4 linked regions of the Elephas maximus indicus genome follow. The protein of the gene in region 1 purifies or fractionates together with the protein of each later gene. This does not show direct contact. Links are inferred from orthologs where the notes say so. Each region holds a gene or a part of one and is shown on either strand. Other genes may lie near its edges. The genes, in order: RTN4, ATL3, interferon-induced transmembrane protein 3-like and NADH-cytochrome b5 reductase 3.

Region 1 (6,921 bases):
TGTTTTAGCTCCAAAATCACAATAAAATTAAATTTCAGGAGCATATTTCTAAAATAAACAGTATTTGCTTAAAAAGACCAAATTATTACCATGGCCTGTTAGACAACAAAAAGCACCTGCGTGCCAGTCACCTCTCCACCCTCCTTTTACACCACTCTCCCCCTGGTTTTACTCACTAGCCTTCTTACAGATTCTCAAGCATCCAAGAGCCTTTGCCCCAGGAGCTGCTTGGAACATTTCACACATCCTAATTAAACATTCTCCATGGCGTCACCCAGTTTATTTTCCTCATAGCACTTACCACCATTTCAAGTTTCTTATCCATGTTTATTCTCTGTACCCTGCCCCCAGGCAGGCACACGTCTTGCTTCTTGCTAGGTCCTCGGAGCCCAGAACAGTGCCTATCTCGTCAGGCAATCAATAATTTGCTGATCCAATGAAAAACGGTGTTAGGAAGACTAGACTCATTGATATGGCTATCTATGACTGTAACCACCATGTTCCTGCATCTAAGAAAGGCAGTATTCTCTCATCTCCTAAGTTTAGGGTTCCAACAGTCAAGATTCTAAGAGAATGAACGCAGTTACCTCCTGGACCACCACTGGTCAAAGAACAGAACTCTCCTCTCAGTTCCTATTCGGGGATCCAAGATAACAAGGCAGTATGCTTTCGTCAATGATTACATTTCCTTTCTGCAAATTTCTCGCTGCTTTATATTTTTATCCATCACCTTATTTTCCCTCAAGTGTTTCTTTTTGATACAGAAAAAAGGAAAGACTGAATTACTTCTCATCTTCTAAGACCTTCTGAGCAGTGCTGTGGGGCAGCCAATATTGAAACGTTATTTCAGAAGCATTGTCGCACTTGGCTTACTTTCCCTGAAAGGATAGGAGTGAACTGGAAGAAAAAAAAATCTATTGTGTGATCTCAAACTGATTTTCTTTTTCTAGAAAATGGACCACTCACTTCTAAAATTCTACAAGGCTATGAAGATTTCTCAGCAAGCATTTATACTACCTGATTCTTGACCTTTTACCTAAAGAAAGGTTACACAGCTGGTAGGGCATTTTGTGTCCCAAAAGAACAACCTACTGAGCCATGCACCTAACAAGTCCCCCAGTCTCTAACAAGCTTGATTTTTTTTCTCTTCCTAAATAGCTTCCCAAGATGAAAAGAGTAATAAAACAATGTTCTGAAAAATAATAACAATATACAATCAGCCACGCATACGAGTTAAGATTTAAAAACTCTTGGAGACCATACAGGTTTATCACTGGTGACCTAAAACTTCTCAGAAATAGTATATCTAACCAAAATATTTCATTAAGCCTCATGGGGAATCTGTCACAAGTCCAACTGGCCGGGTTCCAGCAAGGAATCTACAGATTTCCTCTTCTTTAAGGATGTCAACCATTTTGCTGTCTCCCCAACCCCCTTAAATTATGGTGCATCGAGGCCGAATCGGTCCACACTAACAATGCCCCCTCCCCCTGAGAGCCTGGCAGAACTGCGCCCCCTCGGACCACAATGCCCAGATGGCGTCTCGAAGGCTCAGTTCAGCTGGTGGGGAGTCGCCACCTCACAAGCCTGCTAAACTGGGCGGTGGCAGGCTTGGCCAGAACCCTCTCCTCCCCAACTGTCCCCGCACCACACCACTGGAGGCGCTCTCCCTACACTGCGGCTGGGTCAGTGTGGACGTTTTTTTCCATGAGGCCAGCTCCCCACTAGCGCAGAAGTGGGGTGTGGAGTCTGGAGCGCAGGGGGACTGCCTACACTAGCGAGGGGGTGGGAAGGGGGCCCTGGGCTGAATGACAACAGCCCCGCAGTGAAGCTGCACCCTTTCCCAGACGGGCAGACAAAAGCCTTTCCTAAAAGCTTAGGGCGCCAAGGGCTGCCCATCCCGACACCAAGCCAGCCCAGTGAGTCCACAACCCCAGTTCCTCCACCCACACCCACTACGGCGCGTGCCCCACTTCGGGGACGCAGTGGAATGGGGACCAGAGGGAAGGAAGGGGAGAAGGGAGGGTCGGGAGCGGGTGGGGTGCACGTGCTCCCCGAAACCCAGCCAGACAATGAAGCCGGGCTTCCCCGGCGCCCCACCCGTCTCCCCCGTCCGCAGACAAAGCCCCCCGGGGTCCGGAGGGCGGGCCGGCGCGCGTCGGGAGCTGCACACAAAGGGGCGAGGGCGCGGCACTCACCCGCGGAGCCCGAGGAGCCCTTGCGCTTGGGCGCGGCCGGCGTGGAGGGGGGCGCGGCGGGGGCCGGGGTCCACGCGGGCTCAGCCTGGGGGCTCATGCCGGCCGGGGGAGGAGGGGGCGGCCGGGCCGGGGGCTCGTCGTCCTCGGGGAGCGCGGAGGGCGAGGTTGCGGCCGCGGGCAGGCTCTGCGCGGGCACCGTGGCCGCCGCGGGACTGGGGTCCCAGGGCGCCGGGCGCTCGGGGGCGGCGGAGGGCGCGGCCGGCAGAGGGCCCCGGGGCGCCGGGGGCACCAGGTCATCCCCCAAGTCCAGCAGGGGCGCGGGGGCGGCGGGCGCCGGGGCGGAGGGCGCCGGGGCGGGCGCCGGGGCGGGCACCGGCGCGGCGGGCACCGGGGCGGCCGCCAGCCCGGCGGCGGGCTTCCTCTCCAGCACCTCCAGCTCCTCCAGGTCCTCGTCCTCGTCCTCCTCGTCCTCCTCCTCCTCCTCGTCCTCCTCGTCCTCCGGCTCCCGCACGAACTGGTACTTGAACTGGGGCTGCGGCCGGGGCGGGGTGTCCGCCGACGAGGACACCAGCGGCGACTGGTCCAGGTCTTCCATGGCGGCCGGGCTGCAGACGGTGCTGCCGCTTCTCCGCCGCCGCGCGCCGGCGCTGGTGGGGGCGGGGAGCACGGAGCGGGCCGGGCCCACCGAGCCGAGGGAGCTGCAGGGCCGACGACTCCCGGAACAATGAGCCTGCGCCTCCTGCCTCCGCGCGCTGATGCGCCAGCCGCCCGGTCCCCAGCTGCCGCCGCCGCCGCCCAGGCGACCAAGGAGAGGCCAGCCGACGCCCCGCCCCTTTTGGCGTGACTCACCCTCCCCCCGGGCGGGGCAGCGACTGGCGCGGGAGGGAGAGGGCCAATCGGCGCCGAGATGGGCGAGATGGACAACCAGCCGGCCCAACGGGAAGGGAAAGAGATGACGGCGGGCGGGGCTTGGCGCACTTCCTCTCTCTGACCGGCTGGGCATGAGTTCCGTGGGCGGGGTTTGGACCTGGGAGCCCCACCCCCACCCTGGGTGGATGGGCGACTGGGTGGGGTCTCGGCCTTGCCCGGTAGCTGGAGGTCGGTTTGTCGTTCAAGTCCAGCGACCCGGAGCCGACTGCGGACCGGAAGGGGTCGGAGGGCTTTCTGGCGCACCACCGGAAGGGCGTTATCCTGTTGGGCGGGGGGCGCGGTGTGGAAACTTTCCTCCCCGGAGAGGGAAAAACCCATAGTGTGGAAGGAGGCCTTCGTGATTTAAATACACATTCAATTGATAAAGAATTTGAAATAAAAGATGACTTTTTTCCAAACTTAACATTCCCAACCCACCTCATCACCCCCCAAGAAGTTTGTTTTGACAGTTAGGGTCGCTCCCCGCCTGAACTGCAGCCCTGGAATGACGCAGGCAAATAGGGCCGAGCAGAGGATCGGGGCGTTTGGGGTGGAGGGCCTCGCGGTCCGCTCATCTCCCTCCGGGAGGGTTTTGGGCACCGTGGCTGGACGTTCACATGGTGGATGGATGAGTCACCGAAGAGAGACGGGGAAGAGGGGGAAGTGGAAACAAAGAACGCCTCGGAAGGCAAATGGGGTTCGCGTTACCTCCCCAGTCACCTTGGGCTCGTCCGTCGACATCTCGGATGACTCAGGCTTTCTGGGAGTCAGGAAGCCCGATACACACTACTTGGATACGCCAGAATGAGTCTGCTCTTTATTCCTCTTTTCCCCAAACTGGAACGTTTAGAGAACGTGGTTGCAGACCATAAAAGAATCAGCATCCGGAGGTTTATGGATTCTTTTACCTTTCTCTGCAATGCCTTCTCCGCGAGGCCCTGGAGAGACGAGGATAACGTGCTCTCAAGTTGCTCGCTCTAGACCTGCGCTGGCCAGTGCTGTAGCCCCGGGTCACTTGTGGCTCAGAGCACTCGAAATGTGCTGTGTCAACATAAATGCACACCAGATTTCAAAGACTACTCTCCCCCCCAAAAAAGTATATAAAATATCTTTTTTTAATTTTGGTTGAAATTGATAATACTTTGGATATGTTGGGATAAGTAAAATATACCATTAATCTCACTTGTTTCATTTTACTTTTTTAATGTGACTATTAAAAAAAAACCGTTGCCATCAAGTCGATCCTGACTCAGCAACGGAAAGAACGGAGTAGAACTTGCCCAAAGGGTTTCTGAGAAGCGCCTGGTGGATTCAAACTGCCAGCCCTTTGGTTAGCAGCTGTAGCTCTTAACCACTACACGGCCAGGGTTTCCAATGTGACTACAGAAACTTGTAAATGCATATATAGCTCAGAATATATCTCTATTGGACAGTGGTAGTCTAGATTAATGATCGAGATATTTTAACTGCTGCTGAGAATCGCAGGTTATTTAAGCAAATTGTTAGCTCTAACTAATTAGTATTACCCTAAACCCACTGCCGTCAAGTCAATTCCGACTCATAGTGACCCTATAGGACAAAGCAGAACTGCCCCATAGAGTTTTCAAGGAGCACCTGGCAGATTCGAACTGCCGACCTTTTGGTTAGCAGCCCTATTACCCTAAAAAAAAAAAAGGAATCTAAAAAAAAAACGTAGAACAAGATTTCCTGGCAATGTTACCTGATCCAGTGAACTATCAACAATACATTTAAGGCCTAGCACTAATTCCACAAAGATAAACTGGCTTTATTACTCTCGAAATGGTTGTGAGTTGTTTGGGGTTTGTTTAGGTTGGGGTTTTTGAAAAGAGTAGGAAGAGAAAAGCATTGAAGTAGAATTTGGGGGTGATAGTGGTTAACACAGGAAAACCTGGTTGCTTAGTGGTTAAGTGCTACAGCTGCTAACCAAGAGGTCGGCAGTTCAAATCCACCAGGCGCTCCTTGGAAACTCTATGGAGCAGTTCTACTCTGTCCTATAGGGCCGCTATGAATCGGAATTGACTCGACAGCAATGGGGTTTTTAGTGGTTAACAAATGTTCTGTCTTCAACTTAAAACTTCTCTCTTCAAACCTTCTACTGGCTTATTTTGCTGATAAGGTAATGCCAGGTTAAAACTGATTCCTACAATGATGACTGAAATAGTCACGTTTTGAGTATTTGTCAAAAATTACCTAAAATATACATGATTTTCAACTAATTGTATACATATACAAAAATATACTAGCAAAATGTTTATGGTACAAACTTTTTCTATGAAGTCACAGTTCGGCTGTTTCTCCTACTATGGTTGTTTTGAAACAGCTGAATGGGAAGTTACACAGGGTTCTCCTGTATCATCTGTAAGTTACTTATGTGATATTTCTGTATTCCTGTGTCTCTGTACCTGCTACTACTAAAATAGTCTCAAAGGAATATTCTTAATCTATTGAAAGTTTTATAAAAGAATGAGTATAGTCCATGTTACGGAAAAGTAGTAGAGCTGCAACGTTAATAGTAAACAGCGATGAATTCTGATGCACTCTCCTCTGATGCAGAAGAAAAATAAGAATTTTATATTATTGATCTCAGCAGCTTCTAAAAATTAATATTTGATGCGTGAATAAGAGTAAGGCATTTACCCAGCGTCTGTAGGATGGTCAACAAAGCACAAAGAAAGGAGAACGTTGCTGCTATACCAGAATTATAAGCTAGTTACGCCTTAGTGTAATTAGATGCAAAGGCTGCTCTCGCTAACAAAATTCTGGTGGACGTTTGGAACGCTTAAGGAAAAAATGCAAATTCTAAATCATAAGAGTTTGAGAATAATTATTTAGTGAAATATCTTTGAAATGATCTTACCAGAAGTAAAGGATTAAAGTTCCCAGATATCTACTTCTTAGGAACTGTTGTCTCTCAGAACACTACCTGAGATCCGTTCAGAGACTCCTAGAATCTCAGAGCCAGAAGGGTTCTGAGAGGTCAGCTTGACCTACCTCCCTCCATGACAAGAACTCCCTAGGAAGGTTTATAAAGTTGGTCTTCTGTGGTAGATTAAAAATGGCCACAAACTCTTCGCAGCAAGTCCCATCAAGAGTTGAAGTCTATCGCCTCACCTCGCCTAAGGTGGGCTTGTGACTTACTTGATCAATAGAATATTCTAGAAGTGAGTTCCAAGCCTAACCACCAGGGGCGCTACAGCTTCCTCTTTCCCCCTCTTGGAATGCTGAGGCCCTGTGAAAAAACCTAGACTATTTATCCCTGTTGCTATGATACTGAACAGGTTTTAGCAGAGCTTCCAGCCTAAGATGAACTAGGAAGAAAGGCCTAGAGATCTACTTCTGAAAATCAGCCAGTGAAAACCTTATGAATCACATCAGGGTGAACGACAATCAATCACAGGGATGATGCAGGACTGGGCAGCATTTCATTCCCTTGTGCATGGGGTCGCCATGAGTCAGAGCTGACCGGAAGGCAGCTAATGGTATTCATTATGGAAGATGGAAATCACATGGTCAGAGCGACCTAGCCATCTGAGCCACTCAACTCATGTCCCAGAAATGAGAGTGAGGCCATCTCAGATGTCCAGCCAACCCACAGAATCATAAAAAATGATGAATCATTGTTATTTTCAACCTCTTGAGGTGGTTCATTACACAGCAAAAGCTAATTGAAACATCATCCAATTTTGCTTTATTCATTCACACAAGAAATATTTGTTGGGTATTTACTATGTACCAGGCACTGTTCTGGAGCCCTGGTGGTGCAGTGGTTAAGAGCTCAGACTGCAAACCAAAG
Region 2 (7,817 bases), on another chromosome or scaffold:
TGCCTGTCATTTACAGGTAAATTCTAAACTAGTTCTCAAGTAAGTTCACACAACCTAGAGTTCCTAAGGTATTTATCTTAGTTATCTAACCCAAAACAAAATAACTAGATAATCTTAGTTATCTGGTGCTGCTACAACAGAAATATCACAAGTGGGTGCTTTAACAAACAAATTTATTTTCGCACAGTTTGCCGTTGCCATCAAGTCAATTCCGACTCATAAGGACCCTATAGGAGACAAGGGAACTGCCCCACAGGATACGCAAGGAGCACCTGGTGGATTTGAACTGCTGACCTTTTGGTTAGCAGCCATAGCTCTTAATCACTTAGGAGGCTAGAAGTCAGAAATCAGGGCGTGAGCTCTCAGGGAAGGCTTTCTTTCTGTCAGCTACGGAGGAAGGTCCTCGTCTCTTTTTGAGCTTCTGCTCCTCGGCGATCCTCCTATGGCTTGACATCTCTTTCCCCATCTCTGCTTCTACTCGCCTGTTTAATCTCTTTCATATCCCAAAAAAGTAGCCCTGGTGGCACACTGGTTAAGTGCTCGGCTGCTAACCTAAAGGCTGGTGGTTTGAATCCATCAGCTGCTCCTGTGGACAAAGATGTGGCAGTCTGCTTCCATAAAGATTACAGCCTTGGAAATTCTATTGGTTAGTTCTACCCTGTCCTATAGTGCCACTATGAATTGACTACAAGGCAATGAATGGGTTTTGTATCTCAAAAAAGACTGACTCAATATACACCCTACATTAACCCTGTCTTATTAACATAACAAAAACAATCCATTCCCAAATGAGATTATAACCACAGGCATAGAAGTTAGGATTTACAACACGTATTTTGGGAGGGCATAGTTCAATCCATGGAAACCCTGGTAGCATAGTGGTTAAGAGCTAAGGCTGCTAAACAAAGGACAGTGGTTTGATCCACCAGGCGCTCCTTGGAAACCATACGGGACAGTTCTACTCTGTCCTATAGGGTCGCTATGAGTCGGAATCGACTGGACAGCAATGGGTTTTGGAATTCAATCCATTAACACTACTTCACGGAAGATCTTAGTAGAATGTGGCCAAACTGTTAATAATGGCTACGTTTTGTGGAACTGGGAAGATGGAGAGGATTCTATTTCTTGCTTCACACAATATTATTTCATTTTAAACAATTAGTGTGAGCAGTCTTTAGTCTATGCTTGCTACCCAAAAATCCCATGTATGGCACCATAAACCCAAACCCACTGCTGTCGAGTCAATTCCAACTCATAGCAACTCTATAGGACAGAGTAGAACTGCCTCATAGGATTTTCAAGGCTGTAAATCTTCACTGAGCCAAATGCCACATCTTTTTCCCCTGGAGTGGCCGGTGGGTTCAAACCCGTGACCTTTGATGAACAGCCAATCACTTAACCACTGTGCTATCAGGGCTCTTTTGAATGACTCCAGAGAAAACCTATTTTTTATAAGTCTATTCTAAATAAGCCAATTTAGTGAAAACTAAGAAAACTATGTCAGTACACATTACATTTATCCTTTATTGTTATTTTTCTTAATTTTATGATAAGTACAATGACACTAAACAGTAGCTAATAAAACAATATGCTGTCCCAGCATAATCCTTTATTACGTACAGACCTTTTTCACTAAGTGTTTTCCTTTACAGGTGTTAGAGTAGCAACAGGAATTTCTAGACTACAAGCTAGTTTCTGTGGGGACCGGGGAAAAAAAAATAGCACTAATTTGAATTTCAATCAGGGGCGGATTACCCAATAATCAAGGTAACCATGGGCTCACTTGTGCTCACTTACTAATCTGTAGTGACCAATTAGTAAGTAAGCACAAGTAAACCCGTGTTTATATTGATTATTGAGTAATCTGCCCCTGATTTCACTACGTATCTTGCAATCCTGAATACTTGCCATAGATTAGAAGAACTATATTGCTTTTCTTTCTTAAATATGCTTCCTCAAAAGTAAACTCAAGTGTGGTCCGATGGTTTTTCTGCCTTTCACAAAGTATTCCACTCAACTTTGTATTCAAATTTGAGAATTCGGATTTACTTATTAAAAGATTCTTCAAACACTTTTCCTTTCTGCCTTTAGATTCCACAAGTGAAATTCCTGGCAATTCCAACAGTGCCTACGTTAAACAAAAAGCCAGGTAAAGCGACAGACGAAGTCGTATCGGTGAATTTTTGGTCACTCCCTATCTGGTTTGTATTCAGGTAACACTTTTCCTACGTTGTATGGCTTCGGGAACCAAAAGAGCAACGTCCCGTACTAAACGTACTGAAAAAAGTACCAAAACCAAGTGGGGCCACGTTTTCTCATCTGCTTTATGGAGATAAGCGGGCTGAAAACCAACTTTTCTAACACTCCTTGGTGTCAGTGCCTCAAGGTCGTTAAGATAAAAGACGTTTCGCAGCCCTCCAGCACTTCACTAAAAGCTGAACAACAAAGCGCTCTCCTTCCCGCTCCAGCCCAGCGGGTTAAACAGCCGAAGCCATTTGGCCCGAGTTTCCCGGCTGTGCCCAGGGCGGGGTCCAACGGTGCGGAAGCCGCGGACACAGCCCCAGGAAGCCCCCGGCCCCCGGTGCCGCCCCTGGCGGGCGCGACGGGCACAAACGGGGAGCGGCGGCCCAATGGAGCGCTGGCGGCCTCCCCGGGGCGCAGGGGCCGAGGCCCGCGGGCGGCCACTCCCAGCCGGAGGCTGAGGAAGGCGCTGCCCGCGCCCGCAGGGCCAAGCGCCGCCAGGAAACCCCGGCCCCGAATTTGCGGGCAGAGGGGCTCGGCCGCGCCGTCCCAGCCCCTGGACGGGGCGGCGCGGGCGGCGTCCTGGGAACTATGGCGGGGAGGCGGCGGGGTGGCCATGGAGAGGGGCCGGGGGAAAGTGGGCGCCTCACCTGCTCCTCCCGAGGCAGCCGCTACCGCTCGCTGAGGGGACAACATGGAGCCTCCGCCCTCAGCAGAAGCAGCTGGGGCGCAAAGGAGAGGGACGGCCTGGGGCGGGAACCAGCCAGGCCCTGAGGGCGGGAGGCGGGCGGGGCCTGGGCTCTAGAAGAAACTGGGGAGGAGGAGGGGCGCGCGAAGCCGTCCGAGAGCGAGCGCGGGGCGGGTCTGCGAAGCCTGACCGAGCCCTGAGGCACTGCCCGCGCAGGGCGGGTCCCGGCGGGAAAGCGCACGCTGCCGACTCGCTCAGGGCGTGTGCGCCTGCGCAGGAGCGCGGCAGGCTACCTTGGGCTGGGCGCTGCCGGCCACGGTCCGTTGGGTGTTGTAGTCCCTCATTGCCTGACTCCCAGTTGGCGGTACCCATTTTGCTCACTCATCCGGGGCGGGTAGGGAGTCGAGGAGAGGGGCGAGGCCTGGCACCGCTTTCCGATGACAGATCTACCATTCCCAGCAGGCTGTGCGAGAGCCGCCCGGAGAGGGCTCGCCCCGGCCCGCCAGCGAGCCGGGCCGTAGGGTGGTAACCAGGCCCCGGGCGGGAGCTTTGGGATCGTCGGTTTCGTGCTCCTGTCGGCCGCGTCTGAGAAGGTTTCGGTGGTTAACGCAGGCCGGGGCCGCAGGTGGGTGGGTCCCTGCTCTAAGGACCGGAGGAGGCTTTGGCCCTGGGTGACGCGAACCTCACTGGATTTTTAATGCTTTTGACTTCACAAGGAGGGAGGCGGTGACTTCATTACCGCCATCGTCATCACTCCATATTCCTGCCTCTAGCCAAGCCCGATGGTGCACATCACCCCTCTAAAAGCTCTGGGAAGACCCCTCCCACCGCTTTGTGCAGCCTGAACCTCAAACGTTCTTTTGTAAACCTCAGGTTTACAGGGACTTGATTTAAAGCTTTTTTTTTTTTTTTTTTGCAAGCACACTTTTGCTTAAACTGTATGGTTGTCGTTGAGTCGATTCCAACTCACGGCGACATGCAACGCAAGGTTCTCCGAAAATGAGAAAATATCAGTTGCCACAATTGAGGAATATTGTTTTTTGGATTTGTTGGGTGAGAGTGGATTGGGAATAAATAACTGGTGAGGCTTCTGGGAAGCTAAAGCATCTGATTCCCCACCACCACCACCTCTTGGCTTCACCGTTGTCACATTTATTTGACAAATTATTTCTCTTTCTTTTGCCTCTGCCTTCACTGTTATAATCTATCTAGGACCTACTTTTCCCTACCTTTAGGCCCTGCGGAGCCTTTAACGTCATTTTTTGCTTCCCAAGTGATTAGGTCAAAGGTGAAGAGGCAAAGATAATTCTACCTAATCCTACCTAAGGAAGTCTCTTTGATTTGTTTCCCTAACCCTTCTGATACTCCCCAAAAATCTCCAGATAATTGAACACCCCTCCTCCAGACTTCAGATTTAAGAGTCAAGATTAGATTTAGACCAACTAAAGCCAGCAAGAAAGGAGAAAACATCAAGGCAAGTGGTTACTGGGAATTCACACCAGTGTGCAGGAGGCAGGACCTACAGAATGTGACACACCCAGGGCATTATGTGGCATGCTCAGAAAGAGAAAGGAGGGGTCAAAGGCCCATGACTCATCACAATTGAAACCTGCGATGTAGGAATTCAAAATTCTTACGTTTTGAAGATTCTCACACTTCAGGATTCCCTGTTCACTTTCCCTGCTTTACTTTCTGCATGAGACTTCTTACCATCTGACTTAAGTTTTACTTATTGTTCTGTTTGTCTCTTCCCATTAGAATGCAAGTTTTTGCTAAGGATAGGAATTTTAGTCTGTTTTGTTTACTGCTGCATCTCCGGCACCTCAAGCATTGCCAGGCAGATAGTAGAGACTCAAACATCCGTTGAATGAATGAATAAAGGAGGCACACTTTGTCATTAGCTGCCATTGAATTGACTCCAACTCATGGTGTCTTTATGTACAACAGAAATAAATGTTGTCCTGTCCTGCATCATCCTTACAATCACCAGCATGTTGGAATTCATCATTGTGGCTATCGTGCCAATCAATCTAGCCAAGGGTCTCCCTTGCCATCGATAGCCCTCTACTTCACCAAAACACTGGTGGTGGTGACAGAGCTTACAGCATCATGAGAAACACACAAGCCACTACGGTATAACAAACTGACAGACAGGTGGTGGTCACTCACTTTATTATTAAGTACCTAAGTTAATATTAAGTACCTAACTTTTACTTTTGAACAAAATGCCTTGTTCTATTTTAAGGGATCCCAATAAAGACCCACTGAAATTCATTCTGACCAGCAAATACAGAGATGTATCTCAATATGACAACATTATCAAGGTCAATGTTAGTACCACATCAGCCTTCCCCGTACCTTGTAGAAGCTGTTCCGCATTAGAACAACATGGTACAAATTATAGTGGATTTTAGGTTTAGCCATAGCTTGGAAAGCAACCCCCGTAAGTGAGAAATGTGTTTGTTGTTGTTGCTTTTATGTCCTCAAATATCCAGGGTCATCAAAACAGGGAATGTTCAGAATGCTAAATATTGATAATACTGGTTACAGCCTTTCTGCCTTCAGCCATTTCACTTTGAGTTGAGCCTTCTTCGTGGTTCAGAAGTAAGCGACATGAAGACATGTCGGGAGCGGTAAGGGCCACACACTTTAGAGTCAGGCTGACCTGGCTTTGAATTCCAGCTCTAATGCTCACCAGCTGTGCAACCCTGGGTGAGTTATTTGTCCTCTCTGAGTCTGTTTCCTCATCTGCAAAATACTTCAAATACCCACATCACAGAGCTGTAGGTTAAATGAGATGCATTTGGTAATAATGACTGGTACTTAGTGCTCAAAAATTGGAACACATTATATTCATTCTGGAAAAGCAAAACCAAGTCATAACAAAGATACTCAAGTATTTTAGGAAGCGTAAAAACAAAATTGTTTTTGCAATAAGCATTCACTATGACTCAGATTCCAAAGCTTTCCAAAAACGCCTTATTTAGGTGCCAAGTACTGCGCTAGGCGTTAATGCTGCAACAACAAGCCAAGCACCATGCTAGGCATTAATGCTGCAACAACAAGCCAAGCACCATGCTAGGCATTAATGCTGCAACAATGCGTAAGACACATTCCTGTCCTTCAGGAACTCACAGTCTGCTGGGGTAAACAGCCAAGTAAATAGTTATCACCTGCCGTGATGATCACTTGCCGTGACATTTTTCAGCCTTCTCCCCTATCATCTACTTGCAATAATGGTATTTAAGCAACAGTCTGGGCACTAGGAAGGGACAGGCTTAAATACTGACATCCCTGGGCATCAGTTAAACATCTGTGCCTTTACGTTGTTCATATGTAAAGTGGAGTCACAAGATGGCCTAGAAGCTGAGGTGGGAAATAATTGTGTAAATGCCAGTCCTAAAAGGGGCAAAAGGAGCCCTCTCGGCAGAACAGTTAAGCACTTCGTTGCTACTCAAAAGGTCGGTGGTTCAAACCAGTAGTTGCAGGGGAGAAAGACCTGGTGACCTGGTCCCATAAAGATTATAGCCTAGGAAACCCAAGGGGCAGTTCTGCTCTGCCATATGAAGTCAGTATCAGTCGAAATCAACTCAACAGCACCTAACGACAACAACGTAGGGGCCAGAGAAGTGGTTATGCTCCAGTGAACACTCTAAAAATCCCATCTGACTCTATAGAAGAATCCTGATCAAAAGGGGGGAAATGCAGAACAGAATTTCAAATTCTCATGGACTCCAGACTTCCTGGAGCCATTGAGGCTGGATAAATCCCTGAAACTACTGCCCAGTGTATAAAACTTAAATCAAAAATATCCTCTGAAGTCTTCTTAAAACCAAACAATAAAAAAATAGGTTAGCTTAATTAGTAAAGAATGTCTTCCTTAAGTTTTTAAGCTCTTTTAAGAACTATCTATATGGGATCAAAGTGACAACAACAACTAAAAAATTAGATTGGAGCCTTAGGGGGCAGTGGGCTAAATGTGGGAGGAACAACTCAGAAAAGGAGGGTAAGAATGGTTGTGGAACCTGAAGAATGTAATCAATGACACTGAATCGTACATGTAGAAATGGTGGAATTGGCATATGTTTTGCTGTGTATAGTCTCAATAACAACAACAAAATAAATTAAAAAAAAAAAAATTCCATCTGAGCCCTTCCTGCCCCAAAACTTTCAAATTCTCGATTCCTTAGTGTAATATCAACGCTTCTCCACAGTCTGGTTCCAACTTTTCTTCCGCGTTTTATCTCCCTCTTGTCCCAATTCAAGACCTCGGCTCCAGCCAACTTGCTCTAACCATGCCCCAAACACCCTATACACAGTCACACTTCTGAGCTTTTGGCCAGCACAGCAGTGTGTGTACTGCACTGAGGCAGCCCCAGGAGGGGAGGGGCAAGAGAAGATGAAATCTAGGCCATGTTCTGCTAGACAAGCCAGCATGGAACTGCATGGCTAAGATGATTTTTTTTTTTCCTAATTCATCTGCCCAGAGGGGTGCCATTTTGTATACTTGCACAAAAGCAATCCCTGCATTTGCTTCACACCATCCTCTCCTGCCTCTAATGGCCTCCTTACCACTCCAGACTCCTGTCCATATTTTAAGGTTGAACGTCTTCATAAAACCTTCTCGAGCCGCTATAACTCCATGGTAATCCCTCCCCTATTTCAAATTCATACTACTTATTTGCGGCCCAATTTCATAGCACTATGGTTTTTTATTGCTTGGGGTTGTTTTTGGTTTTATTTAATTTGTATTATTTAGCTTTATGTGAGTATATTCTAAGCCCCAAGAAGCTTGAAGCTCGTTGAAGACACAGCAACATATTATATTTGTAGATCCCTCCAACGTGCCCATGATAGTGTTATACACAGAGCATATGACCAGTAAACA
Region 3 (6,143 bases), on another chromosome or scaffold:
CTCTTGGTTACACCACAGGGCTCTGTGCTGGATGTGGAGCAGTGGAAATCTCAAAAAGGTGAATGCACATGCCCAACTCCAGGGAGCAGAGAGTCACCTCACTCTGCCTACTCCCTCTGCTGTGCACAAAACACTCAAGCCCTGGAAGCTCAGAGTCAGTGCTAGCGACCTCAGTGAGTTCTGTCATTGGTGAGGAGTCAGCTGGCAGAACTACTCACACACACACACAATAATGCATGCTTACTATGAGACATAATAAATTTCTCTAATAGTCAAAATAATACTTTACAAAGTTTTTAGAACAGATCTAGGTGATTCTTGGCTCATCGGTGGTAAAACAAACGAGTGTTTCTCAACCTTGGCACAACTGTCAAATTGGAGCAAGAGAATGCTTAGTTGTGGGGGGCTCTCTTGCATTGGGTAGGGGGTTGAGCAACAGCTCTACTCATAAGATGCAAGCAGCCTACCTAGTGTTGTTGTTCTTGTTGTCACTGAGTCTATTCCAACTCATGGTGACCTCATGTGTGCAGAGTAGAACTGTGCTCCATAGGGTTTTCAAGGCTGCAGCCTTCAGAAGTAGATCACAAGGCCTTTCTTCTGAGGCATCTTTGGGTGGCTTCCAACCTCCAATCTTTCAGCTAGGAGTCCCATGCATAGCCATTTATGCAACCCAGGGTGCACACTGCCAGGCTCACCCTCACCCAACAGAGCAGCAGGCCCCCATCCAGGACTGAATCACCAGCTGAGGGTTCAGATGTGTGGGAGCTGGGCTGAAGCGTGGGTGGGGAGGGGCAGAGAGGGGCCCTTGCACCCAGGTGGAAGTCCCAGGGGGTACCAGATGAGGCCTGGAGTGACATTCCAAGGTACCAAGAGTATCAAAGGCACCTGACTGAGACAGTTGGACAAGAAGCAGGGAAGTGTTTCTGCTGACATGTTACAGCTGTCAATGTCTGTTCATCTTGAAATTGGGGGGCCCAACTTAGAGATTGCCTCTGGGCACTAGTTACCCTTGCTACACCCTGAACCTCATCACCAAGTCGTGGCAATGAAAAATATTTCCAAACCCTTTGCCATCAAGTCAATTCTGCTGCATGGGACCCTACAGGATGGAGTAGAACTGCCCCCATAGGGTTTCCAAAGAGCAGCTGGTGGATTCAAACTGTCAGCCTTTTGGTTAGCAGCCAAGCTCTTAACCACGGCACCACCAGGGCTCCAAAACGTATCTCCAGTTATTGCCAAATGTCTCCTTTGTACAGGATCATTTCCAGCTTAGACCCATGACCTTAGATCACTTTGTCTCTGAGCTCATAAATACTGAAAATGATACGGACTAATAATATATCAAAGTATGTAGACCATGCCTGGCATAAGGCAAGTTATCAATAAATATTTATTGTTATTACAAAGGAAGTCTACTTAAGAGAAGTCCCTGGATGGTACCTGCACAGGATCAGATGCAAGTATACATGGGACCTTCCTGATGCTGGTGGTGGAATAAAGATATTGTGGTTATAGTGGCCATCTAAGATGCATCAGTTGGTCCCAACCCACTTGGAGCAAAGGAGAGTGAAGAACACCAAAGACACAAGGAAAATATTAGCCCAAGAGACAAAAGGGCCACATAAACCAGAGACTCCATCAGCCTGAGACCAGAAGAACTAGATGGTGCCCAGCTACCAGCAATGACTATCCTGACAGGGAACACAACAGAGTCCCTGACAGAGCAGGAGAAACGTGTAGAGCAGAACTCAAATTCACATAAAAGGACCAGACTTAATGGTCTGACTGAGACTGGAGGCACCCCCGAAGTCATGGCCCCCAGACGCTCTGTTAACTCAGAACTAAAATCATTCCCAAAACTCAGTCTTCAGACAAGATTAGACTGTACTATAAAACATAAAATAATGCTCACAAAGAGTGTGCGTCTTAGTTAAAGCAGATACATGAGACAAAATGGGTAGCTCATGTCCGGAGGAAGAATGAGAAGGCAGGAAGGGACAGGAAACCTGAGGTGGAAAGGGGAAGTGTGCTGTCACGTTATAGGGATTGCAACCAGTGTCACATAACAATACCTGTGTAAATTTTTATATGAGAAGTTAACGTGAGCTGTAAACTTTCACCTAAAGCACAATTAAAAAAAATAAATAAAGACATTGTGGTTATGTAGGTCGGTTTTTTTTTTTTTTTTTAGGTCAAATCTTTGTGATTATGAGAATTAAGCATAGATACTACAGAGTTCTTATAAGGTGGACCAGAATCTAAGACCTGGGACAGAAGAGTGAAAACCCATGAATCCTGAAGAGGGGAAGGACGATGCACGGAGTAATTAAAACTACAGTGTGCGACCATATCCCTAAATGCTGGATCCAGGTAGAAAAGACAACCTGTGCTCCACGGGGATACTCGTGGAAATTCAGGAAAAGGGAAACCACAGCAGCCCAGAGAGCCTCCCAACTCGCTATCCTCTGTTGTCAGTTCTTAAGCCCATGAGGAGTACTTTAGGGATGAAGATAGTGTTGACCCCAATATCACCCAGCATGTTTTCTCCTTTTTCAAAATGGGCAGCTGAGAGCTTAACATAACCAAGGCCATGATAAACCTATAAGTTGTTCTAACTCTGCCTGCCTCCTCACATACCTCTGTTAATGACTTTGTTTCCACCAAATGTTAATGACTTTGTTCTGTGTTTTAAACTGATGCAAATAACCTTTTGTTCTATCTAGACTACCTGTGGCATACAACCCCCACAGGAAAGTTGGAGCCCAGGTATCCGATATGTATGTCTTCAGCCTAGTAAAGAAATGTCTGACAGGGGACAACGAAGACACCTGTAACCCTTGTAAGATTCTCTATAAGCTCTAATGTAAAACTGCTCTTTGGGACTCCATAGAGACAGCCTGTGTTGCTGCTGGGTCCCTGGTGATGTATTCATCTCACTCTTTCTGGCTTGAAGTATGTTTCATTGGCTTGACTGCTCCAGGGCATGGACCCTAATCGGGTAACAATAGTAAAGATAGTAGAGGACAGAATTGACTCATCTTGGAAATGGGAAAATTGAGCTTCAGAAACTTGCCTGAGTTTCTCCAGGTTCTTTCTAGTTCTTCATGAGTGAGGTCAGATAACCTGTAATTTATACAAAGACCCTCACCAAAATGGGAAGCAGAAATGGGAAACAAACAGGCTGAACATGGGAGAGGAGGACTCAATTCCAGAAAATTAAAAGGTCTCTTCAAACTACCTAAGGTCCTCCATCCACTGATGAATGTGCACTTGGTTGCTCCTCTTCCCACCTACCACCCTGCCCCATCCACCTCCAAACCAAGACACATGTTGGCAAGAAGGACCTTTCCTGATTTTAGAAGGAGGCTCCTTCCTCAGTGTACATCAACAAGGCTAACACAGGCTCCATTCATTGTTGTTGTCAATATTAGTTACCATCAAGTTGATTCTGAATCAACTTGTATCAGGGTAGGATTGTGCTCCACAGGGTTTTCAAGGCTGTTTTTTTTTAATCTTTACAGGAGCAGATCACCAGGCCTTTCTTCCAAGGCACCTCTGGGTGATTTTCAATTGCCAACCTTTCAGCTAGTAGTAGAGCGCGTAAACATTTGGGTCACCCAAGAACTTCTTTGTAATAATAATAAACATTTATTGATAACTTGCCCTGTGCAATGCATGGTCCTGTTGTTGTTAGGTGCTGTTGAGTCAATTCTGACCCACAGAGACCCTACGTACAACAGAATGAAACACTGCCTGGTCCTGCTCCAGCCTCACAATAGTTGTTATGCTTGAGCCCACGGTTGCCGCCACTATGTCAATTCTTGTCCTTATGGGTCTTCCTTTTTTTCCCCTTACCAAGCATGATGTCCTTTTCCAGGGACTGGCCCCTCTTGATAACATGCCCAAAGTGTGTGAGAGGAAGTCTGACCATTCTTGCTTCCAAGGCACATTTTGGCTGTACTTTAAATGTATTGCTTCATTTTAACACTCACAGAAACCCTTCCAGGACAGCGCCCTAACTCTCCCTCCCCCTCCCCTCCTCTCAGGCTTGAAGTAATTCGAGCCTCTGAAATATGTCCCGCCTCCTTGGCCCATGGCCACCCCAATTCTTCAGCCTGGAAATAGAAACTTCTGAGAAATCGAAACTACTGAGAGAAGTGAGGCCAGGAAGCTAAACCTCTCACGCAAGACCCTCATCTACTGCTGGACGTCTCAGGAAACCATGAACCACACTTCTCAACACTTCTTCACTCGCGCAGGTACCAGCCTCTCTCCAGCCTACGAGATGCTCAAAGAGGAACATGAGGTGGAAATGTTGGGGGCTCCCCACTGCTCAGTGCCCCCTGGCCCCGTGGCGCCCGTGACATCCACCGTGATCAACATCCGCAGTGATACCTCGGTGCCGGATCATATCGTCTGGTCCCTCTTCAACACGATCTGTATAAACTGCTTCTGCCTAGGGTTTGTGGCCTTCGCCTACTCCGTGAAGGTGCGTGTGTGTGTGCCAGACACCAGGGGATTCTCCAGGAGGGTGCACTTGGGCGCTAGGGGTGCCCTCTGCCCACTTGGTTCTGGGGCTACCAAGGGTGTTTGTGTGTGTTCTTGTGTGTGCCTTTGTGGATGTGTGTGTGTCCATGTGTATGCATGTGCACGTGTGTGTGTCCGTGTTTACACATGTGCACATGTGTGTGCCGGGCACCTGGGCGATTCTTCACCAGGGCGGAGTGAGCACTTGGAGTGCGCTCCCCCCAGATGGGCCTGGCGGGGAGAAAGGACCTGTGTGTGTCCCTGCGTTAATATTTTTGTGTGTGTCTCTCTTGCGCGTGTATTTTATGTGTGCTTCCTTGTGAGTGTCTGTGTCTTGGGAGGGGGGTCTTTCACAGCGTAGATCAGCAATGACACCCCAGAGGGTGCTTGAGGATGTCCTTATCAGTCCATGTTCCCACAACTTCCCCAAAAAATGTTTGTCAGAGTTAACAGAGAAGTTCATCCCTCCCTCACCCTTGGGTTAGGGCTCCAGGCTGGGGCTGGGGTGGGGGGAAGGAAGGAAGGGTGGCACTGGGGCACAGCAGAGGGAAGACAAGCCCAAGGCTCCCTGAAAGGACTGGGGGATTGTGAGGAGGTCTCTGCCCCAGCAGGCAGGGAAAGAAACTGTCCTGCTAGGGCTCCATGGAATGGGCAGGGGGGGGGGGCTCTCAGATGTGGGTGAGGGCCAGTGCAGGCTGAACTGGGGACAGAGCTTCAGGTGCCCTCATTGTTTCCTCTCCTTCAGTCTAGGGACCGGAAGATGGTGGGCGACATGATAGGGGCCCAGAGCTACGCCTCCACAGCCAAGTGCCTGAACATTTGTGCCCTGCTCTTCAGTGTCCTGGTGACCATCGGGTTCATTGCTCTCGTGGCCAGTGGAGCCATGATAAGCCTCGATGCAATCTCAAAGCTCAGGCAGGCACAGGGGGGCCACTGACCGCTGCCCATTGCTGCTGCCTGAGCCCCCCAAGGCTCCACAGCTGGTCCTGCTTTCCCGCCTGTTGACACCCCACCCCAACTCTTGTCTAAAGCAGTTTGCACTCGATGATCTGTCTATAAACGAATTCAGTAAAGTTCCTCTGTGCGTAACGGGGAAACCCTGGTGTCATGGTGGTTAAGTGCTACAGCTGCTAACCTAAAGGTCAGCGGTTCGAATCTACCAGGCGTTCCTTAGAAACTATGGGGCAGTTCTACTCTGTCCTATAGGGTCACTATGAGTCAGAATCGACTCGACAGCAACGGGTTTGGTTTTGGTTTTTGGTGTGCAATGGTGCTGTGATATCGCCCGGGGAGAGGGTCCTGCTCTCAGTCACCAGTCTGCTCCTCAGCTGAGGGTCATCTCACCTTGTCCCACTACCAGGCAGAGCAGAGAGCAGGACACACCCTCAGGCCTGGCTGGTTCTGGCCTCAGGTGGGGCCACAGCTGGGCTGGAGTGGGGGCCCCTCTGACCCTGAGGTCTGAGCCCTGACGCAGGGCGGCTTCTTACAGGGGGATCGGTACTAGGAGGCACCCTCAGCCTCACACAGGGTGCAGAGGACCCTACTCAGGCACTCTGGGATGCCTAGGTCCAGCGGTCAGCCCTCTGGGGTGCACCTGGACCCTAGCTGTTCTGACA
Region 4 (7,583 bases), on another chromosome or scaffold:
CTGGCCCCCAGGAACCTTCACTGCCTGGTGGCAGGGACCACACTCCAGGACTGCAGACCAAGCCCCAAAGGTCTCCACCAGGTAGCTGGATGACTGAAGTGCCAACCCCTCTGCAGGGCCCCCCTGAGTCTGGGAGGTGGCCCCCTCCTAGCCTGCACGTCCCAGATAAGACATCCGCCCACCAGGCACCCAGCGGCCTCCTGTAGACCGCGTGGAGCCCCGGGACAGGAGGTCTGGCTGGGGCCTGCTATGGGTGTTTTAAGCAGAAAAGAAGACCCTCTTGGGCCAAGGGGGATCCCAACAGGGTCCAAAAGGAGCCTAGGGGGCAGCCTGTGCCCACCCCTTGGATAGAGGGGCGGGAGTTGGCACAGGTCTCCTGGCTCCCAAACAAGGTGCTGGCAGGCAAGGGAGCTGCTTGTTTGTTCAACAAAAATGTATGGAGCGCTTACTGTGTGCCAGGTGGAAGGGACGCATGGACAAATCCAGCCAGCACCTGATGGAAGGTGAGAAGCACCCCAGGAAAAGAGCACAGAGGGGAGTCAGGGCGGGCCTCAGAGCCCAGGGGGTGTCTGAACAATGAAGGCAGAAGGGGTGACCCATGGGGATTTCTGGGGTGTACTGTCAGCTGTTACCAAGGCTGAGGCAATGCCCACAGGTTCGCCCTGGGCAAGGCTGCCTCTTGACCTGAATGTGCCCCAGAGTCCTGGGCTGGGCCACACTTTCACCAGCAAAGGCCCAGGCCACAAAGAGGAGCCTCATAGAGCCAGAGGGAGGAGGCAATAGTCCCTCCAAGTCCCAGGCGCCTGGGGTGGAGGCAGAGGCAGATCTGGGCCTAATCCTCCAAGGTGCCAGCCCCTCCCACACGCAGGCCAAGGCACCGCAGGGCCTATTCACTTCACTTCAAGTAGCTTGGACAATAGTGTCTACGCGTGAGAGTGTTTGTCCTCTGTAGTTACCGTCTCTACACAAGCCCGGGGCCTCTTCACCACTCCTGCTTTTAAAAAACTGTAGGGAGGAGGTAGCCTGGGGGTGGAGCGAAGGAGGCCTGCCAGAAGTGACAGCGGTGAGGGTGGACTTTGGAGCCCCACAGAGTGTGGCTCCCTCATGTAGCACTGTGGGACTTTGGCCAAGCCCGAGTCTCATTTCTTCATCTGTAAAGTGGGGCTAACAGCGCTGGCCTTGCAGGCTGGTTACATTAACAACGTCATTGGGTTAACAGGAGAGCCAGAGCCTAACTTAGAACTGCTGAGGATTACCACTGTTGACGTTGTTGTTGCTAAGGGACTGCACAAACCTTCTGATCCAGCAACATCACACACTCATACCCTCACACGCACAATCACACTCTCATATGCTATCACACTCACACACATGTACACCCACACTCACACGCATTCATTCAAACATGAATTTGTACTCACTCTCACATGCACATTCACACTCACACCTATTTACATCTCACAGACGATGCCACACTCACATTCACTCACACTCACACACTCCTGCTAACACGTACCACACAATTCACTACTGCACACCTTCACATACATACACCCTCATTCACACTCACGCACACACACAATACACACTCATTCTCACACACAAACTCACTCTCACGTATTCATACTCACACACACACTCACCCTCTTACACTCACACACATATGCACTCATGTTCACATTCATACACACCTCTCTTCACTCATATGAACACTCACATAGCCGCACGATTCACACACACTATACACTCACATAAACTCACTCTCACACACAGATACACTCACTCTCTTGTACTCACACATTCACACAAACTCACATTCACACACAGCCACATATAAACTCACACTCACATGCATACACTCTCACATATATCTAATCACATATTCAGTCTCACACCATGTACACTCACAATACACACTCACTGTCCTCCTGTCAGGGGCCCTGGTGGAGCACGGGTTAAGCACTCGGCTGCAAACCGAAAGGTTGGTAGTTCAAACTCAGCAGCCACTCCGGGGGAGAAAGGCGTGGCGGTCTCCTTCTGCAAAGACTGTTGTTGTGAGGTGCCATCCAGTCGGTTCCGACTCATAGCAACCCTGTGTACCACAGAACCAAACACCGCCTGGTTCTGCACCATCCTCACAATCGTTGTCATGCTTGAGCCCACTGCCGCAGCCACTGTGTCAATCCCTCTCGATGAGGGTCCTTCTAGTGTCCGTGGACCCGCTGCTTTGCCAAGCGTGACGTTCTTCCCTGTGAAGATTCCAGTACTGGAAACCCTATGGGGCAGTTCTACTCTGTCCCATAGAATCGCTATGAGTCAGAATCCACTGGACAGCAGTGGGTTTGGGTTTTTTGGGTTTAGTGGGTGTGAAAGGAGCCCTGCTGGCGCAGTGGTTAAAGCACTCGGCTGCGCACCAAAAGGTCTGCGGTTGGCAACTCCCAGGGCTCTGCGGGAGAAAGGGTAGCAGTCTGCTGCTGCGAAGGTTCACAGCCTTGGGAGCCCCTGCTGTAGGGTCGCTGGGAGTGGCATCAACTGAAAGGCGAGGGGTTTGGTTTGGGGTTTGGTCTTCATCCTCCTGCACTCTGCCACATTCAGCCACACCATATAGGCTCACACACAAACCCCCTCGCACACTGACACAGACGTGCGGTCACACTCACGCCTCGGCCCGTGGCGGGGAGGGAGACGGCGGTCGCGCGGTCCCGCCCCCGGTGCCGGCCCCCCGCCGCCTTCGGCCGAGCAGGGCAGCCGCCCGGGCGTGAGTCACGGTCCCCGCGGCCCTGGGCGCGGCCCGGCGGGCGGGCGGGCAGACGGGCGGGGGTCCCGAGCCCCGGGCCCGCAGGCCGCCCGGCCCGTCCCCGCCCGGTGGCCCGCCTCTCGCGGCCGTGTCGCAGGGGCGCCGCCCGAGCCGAGGGCCTGGCGCCGGCCGCCCCAGCCCCCCTACCGTGCTCAGCCGGGCCCCCATGGTGGCCGCGCCGCTTCGCTCCGCCGCTCTGGCCGCCCCGCCGCCGCCGCCGCCGCCGCCGCCCTGGCTCCGCCCGCCGCCCGGCGCGTCAGGCCGCGGAGGGCGGGACCGAGGGCGTGGAGGGAGCCGGGGCGGCGGGGCGGTGGGTCCCCGCCGCTAGCGCCCGGCCTCTGCGGGCGGGTATCACCGCACTGCGGGGCCCGCGGCGGTGGCCGGCGCGCCTGGACTGGGTGCCAGCGCGCGGCAGCGTGCGCCTGGGCTGTGTGGCCTTGCGGCGACGCCGGCCTTCTCTGGGCCTCGTCTGCCCCCATAAAAGGCAGAAGATGGCGCCCCCTCAGAGGGAGCTGAAGGGAAACCCGGAAGCTCCACCGCGGCCTGACCCCAGACTGCGCCACCGAGCCGCTGCCTCACGTTGTCCTGAAGCTGCTCAGCTTGGTCCTACCTCACGGCCTTGGCCCATGCCGTTCCCTCTCTCTGGAAAACTAGCCCCAGCCGTCTCAGAGTCTGCTCTTGCTTAGTGTTGAGGTCTCAGGTCAAACCTGTCCCCGGCAAGGCCTGCCCTGACCCCCCTCTCCAAACGCCCCCTCTTCTCTCCCCACCCCACTGCCCGAGGTGTTCTTTCAGGATGGTCTGCTCCCAGCTCAACCCCATCCCAGTGGACCGTTCGGGGAGGGCAGCACCTTGTCTGTTTTGAAGCCCCCTGTATGCCCTGACCCTCACAGAATGCTTGGCACGTAGTAGGCACTCAATAAATACTTGTTGAATGAGTGAATTCCAGAGACAGCGGGCAACTCTTCTGTGTAGACCACCTTCTCTGTGTAGGCCATGCTGGGCCCAGGGTCACTCTCAGGCCTTGCCCCCTGGAAGGGTCTTGGAGCTTCTGGTACTGGGCTCTGTGTTCCTGCAGTGTGATGTGGGCACAGCAGATAAGGGGAAAAAGGCCATCTGGCAGAGGGAACCGGGCAGAGGGAACCGCATGGACCTAGAAGTGGAAATTAGCTGCATAGACAGGGCCAGCAAGGCTAGAAGGGCTGACGTGGCCAGAGCTAGGGGCATGGAGGTGTAACGTGGGATCAGGGTGAAGTACACCAGGAACATGGGTGGAAGGAACTGGGAATTTGGGGAGAGGAGGCGGATCTGGAGGTGCAAGAGGTTAATGTGCTCAGCTGCTAACTAAGGTTGGAGTCCACCCAGAAGGGCCTCAGAAGAAAGGCCTGGTGATCTATTTCCAAAAAATCAGCCCTTGAAACCCCTATGGAGCCCAGTCCGCTCTGTTGGAATTGACTCAATGGCAGCAGGTTTTTGGGGGGAGTCCTGGAGGACTTAGGCAGGTGGGGGAGTGGCCTGTTGGCTTTAAAAAAGGGGCCTCTGGGGCAGCATGGAGGGAGGGACCTACTATGGTAGAATACAAGGATAAATCTGACATCTTCTCAGGTCACTTACGAATTATTTCGGCTTTAATGATTACAATTTTAATGTTACGAAGGAAATAATCAAATCGGAAAGCCTGACCTAGAAGGTACAACCAGTAACTTCTCCGTTGCTAAGGTCTTCGTAGACCACTCACCCATTTGCGATTCTCGACACTTTCCATGGGGGAAACGGAGGCAGAAAATCACTCTAAGCCTCCTCGTTTCCTCCCATACCTTATTTTCTTCGCTTTCTTTATTGCTCCTGGGTCCAAGATGATGATCATGGGTGTGAATTGTCATCTGGGCCTTTCTTCTCCTTGTGAAATTTGGAGGTGACTAAGTTAGCTTCGGAAACCCCAGTGGTTACTCGTTAAAGAGCTAGGCTGCTAACCAAGAGGTCTGTAGTTCAGGCTTCCTGGACACCCTATGGGGCAGTTCTACTCTGTCCTATAGGGTCGGTGTGAGTCGGAATCGACGCGACGGCAGTGGGATTTAAGTTAGCTTTCCTCTTTTAATGCATTCTTATGAGCTGTGAAGAATTCCCACACAGGACTTTTCCTCGAAAAACGCATAGCTTCAATGGCATTAAATAAATAAAACTTAAATATCATATATAAAGTTTATTTAGGTTATGGGTACTGATGCTAGCTAGCTCCACAAACAATCCTACAAAGTTCGAATTTGAGTGGAATTCATCTCTCATTCTGCCTTGTATCATTTAAATTATTTTATACATTTGTAGACTCAAGAAGGAAATCATTTCCTTCCTAAAGTTATCATGCTATTACAGCCTCTTTTAAGATCATATTAACTGTCCGCCTGTTTCCCTATTTATCTGTTGGAACATTCTTCATAATTGTTTCTGTACATAAAATTAATGTCATTCACAACAGAAAATATTGAAGCATTTTGCTCTTACTATAATAAATCCTGTCTGCATTACACCTCAACCCACTGACACAATTTCAATGTATAAAACACAGAAGGAGGCTTCACCCCTGGTTACATCTGGAAGCTTCCCTAGAAGGTGACCCCCATGCCAGGCCTGGCCACACACTGGTGTTGGCTTTTGACTGGCTATGTGACGGCAAAGGAGGTCCCTAGTATCTTTTGGTTTGGAGACAGGATGAAATCAAGATGCCCCACCGTTGGTGAGGCTGGCCTGGCTAAGGGGGTACCTACCAGATCTCCCTATTGTCAAGTATCTTTGACTCTGAAACTGTGAATGTCGTGATCCCTAGCAAACTTTCATCCAATGGTTGCAGCACCTATTAATGGTCTTTGCCTGAAACAGCGACTATCTAGGTAGTTTAACTGGTTTGTAAGCTGCTTAGAGTGGTGGAAAGCGAGGGGAGACCCTCGTCCTAATCCCTCAAGGTCCTGCTATGAGCCAAAGAACAGACGCTTCCCACAAGTCCATTTGCCTTCTACTTTGTTGGTTGAGAGTCCCTGACCTGCTCAGGTGTTTGATCCCTGGGAGAGGCTGAGAGGTGGGTGGACAGAGAAGCCGTTAGTTCTATTGTATAGAAGAAACTGAGGCTCAGAGAAGGGATTCAGCAGCCATGGGCTGGAGAGGAGGCTGGAGAGGAGGTTGGGAGAGAGGGCTTTCAGGCCAACTGCAGGGCAGAGTTTCTGTACTCAGGTTGAGGCTATCCCACCCCTGGCAGCACCCCCCCCCCCCCGCCCCGCCCCAGGCCACCTGTGTAGGGCCTAGGGTTGCCAGATTTAGCAAATCAAAATACAGGACACTCAGTTAAATTTGAATGTCAGCTAAATGATGAATGTAATTTTTTAGCATAAGTATATCCCAAATATTGCACGGAATATACTTACGTAAAACTTCATGATGTCTGGGGGTGTTTGGACAGAACTAGAGGATGGTCAGTTCAATCTGAATCTCAAACATCGAATACTTCTTTCACGCAGAAATGGTAAATGAAAACAAGTGTGGCAGATGTTATCAGATGAGGCTTCATGTCACCGAGTAGAGGAAGCGGGTCAAGTCAGTGGGGCCTTGAATGCCAGGATGAGCTGCTCTCCAGGGGGTAGCTGACAGCCCTGGGAGAAGGGCTTAAACTAGGCAGGCAGTTTTAGAAAACTCCCTCTGGCTATGGGGTTGAGGGAACCTGCTAGACCTCAGGGCTTTGGGTGGGATGGGAATGACTTCTACCTCCTGGGGGTGCACCCAGAACCAGCCAGCCCACCCTTCCCCACTGCAGCCCGCACCCCAGCTGGGCCTCCAAGCAGCCAGTGCAATGATTTGTCAGGAGTTAACGTATTAATGAAGGAACCCTGGTAGTGCAGTGGTTAAGTGATCGACTGCTAACCAAAAGATCAGCGGTTCAAACCCAGCTGCTGCTCTGAGGGAGAAAAATGTCTGCTTCCGTAAAGATCACAGCCTTGGAAATCCTCTGGGGCAGCTCGACTCTGTCCTATGGGTCACTATGATTTGGAATCAACTCCACCACAATGGGTTTGGTTTTGGGAATGTATTAATCCCCTCAGACATTTTCATTTTGAAGAGGGAGCATGTTGCGGGGGAAAAAGATGAAGAAGGGGCTGGGATCACTTGCCCGAGCCGGGGACTGAACCATTAATCACAGAGTCATAGGCGCCTGCTCAGTCAGAGCAGCGCTTTGGCAGGCAAAGTGCTACAGTGACACCAAGGCGGCCCTGAATCTCCCTGGAAGCAGAGCGGAGTTTGACGAAACAGGAGTTGGTACCTCGTGTGTACTCCGTGGTAACCGCATTGGGACTTGTAGGCAGGTTTTAGAAGCACAGTCCCAGCCAGGACAGTGCATAACCTAGGGAGCAAGTTGAATCTGACCAGGGCCCCTGGGGAAGGCTTTCCAGTTGTGGCAAGTCCTCCCTTACCCCAGACATCTCCTTTCCAGCTTACCGAGGATGGCCCCGGCTCAGAGAGGGAAGAGCCTTGTTCAAGGTCACACAGCTGGCAAGGGTCAGAGCCAGAGTTTGAATCAAGGTCTGTTTGCTTCTGAAACTCAGCTCTGGCCACAACAGCTCACCCCTGGAATCTAGCATCCGGAATGGTCTGCAGGTTTTCCTCTTCCTTGCTGGCCTGGGCTGCAAGGCAGGGATTGATGGAAGTGGATGTGGGGTGGGGGACATTCCCCCGCAAATCCTGCCCCGCCCCCCGCGGCCAGAGATTTTCATGGCACATGAGAGAGCACTGGGCTGGGAGCAGG

The links.
Region 2: the proteins of RTN4 (region 1) and ATL3 purify together in Homo sapiens (affinity purification with mass spectrometry; 4 studies listed by BioGRID and IntAct, counting the BioPlex papers as one, with this or other methods). This does not show direct contact. The link is inferred for Elephas maximus indicus from reciprocal best matches to the Homo sapiens genes RTN4 and ATL3.
Region 3: the proteins of RTN4 (region 1) and interferon-induced transmembrane protein 3-like purify together in Homo sapiens (affinity purification with mass spectrometry; 3 studies listed by BioGRID and IntAct, with this or other methods). This does not show direct contact. The link is inferred for Elephas maximus indicus from reciprocal best matches to the Homo sapiens genes RTN4 and IFITM3.
Region 4: the proteins of RTN4 (region 1) and NADH-cytochrome b5 reductase 3 purify together in Homo sapiens (affinity purification with mass spectrometry; 3 studies listed by BioGRID and IntAct, counting the BioPlex papers as one, with this or other methods). This does not show direct contact. The link is inferred for Elephas maximus indicus from reciprocal best matches to the Homo sapiens genes RTN4 and CYB5R3.

Annotation. Positions count from the first base shown.
Region 1 is NC_064844.1:7,148,058-7,154,978, reverse strand, and holds the start of RTN4 (reticulon-4), read right to left. Parts: upstream 3,022-6,921; 5' UTR 2,794-3,021; coding exon 2,199-2,793; intron 1-2,198. UniProt on the Homo sapiens protein: Required to induce the formation and stabilization of endoplasmic reticulum (ER) tubules. They regulate membrane morphogenesis in the ER by promoting tubular ER production.
Region 2 is NC_064825.1:126,874,425-126,882,241, forward strand, and holds the start of ATL3 (atlastin-3), read right to left. Parts: upstream 3,004-7,817; 5' UTR 2,938-3,003; coding exon 2,892-2,937; intron 1-2,891. UniProt on the Homo sapiens protein: Atlastin-3 (ATL3) is a membrane-anchored GTPase that mediates the GTP-dependent fusion of endoplasmic reticulum (ER) membranes, maintaining the continuous ER network. It facilitates the formation of three-way junctions where ER tubules intersect.
Region 3 is NC_064846.1:178,013,041-178,019,183, forward strand, and holds interferon-induced transmembrane protein 3-like, read left to right. Parts: upstream 1-4,133; 5' UTR 4,134-4,222; coding exon 4,223-4,489; intron 4,490-5,272; coding exon 5,273-5,464; 3' UTR 5,465-5,624; downstream 5,625-6,143.
Region 4 is NC_064822.1:186,887,399-186,894,981, forward strand, and holds the start of NADH-cytochrome b5 reductase 3, read right to left. Parts: upstream 3,022-7,583; 5' UTR 2,966-3,021; coding exon 2,945-2,965; intron 1-2,944. UniProt on the Homo sapiens protein: Catalyzes the reduction of two molecules of cytochrome b5 using NADH as the electron donor.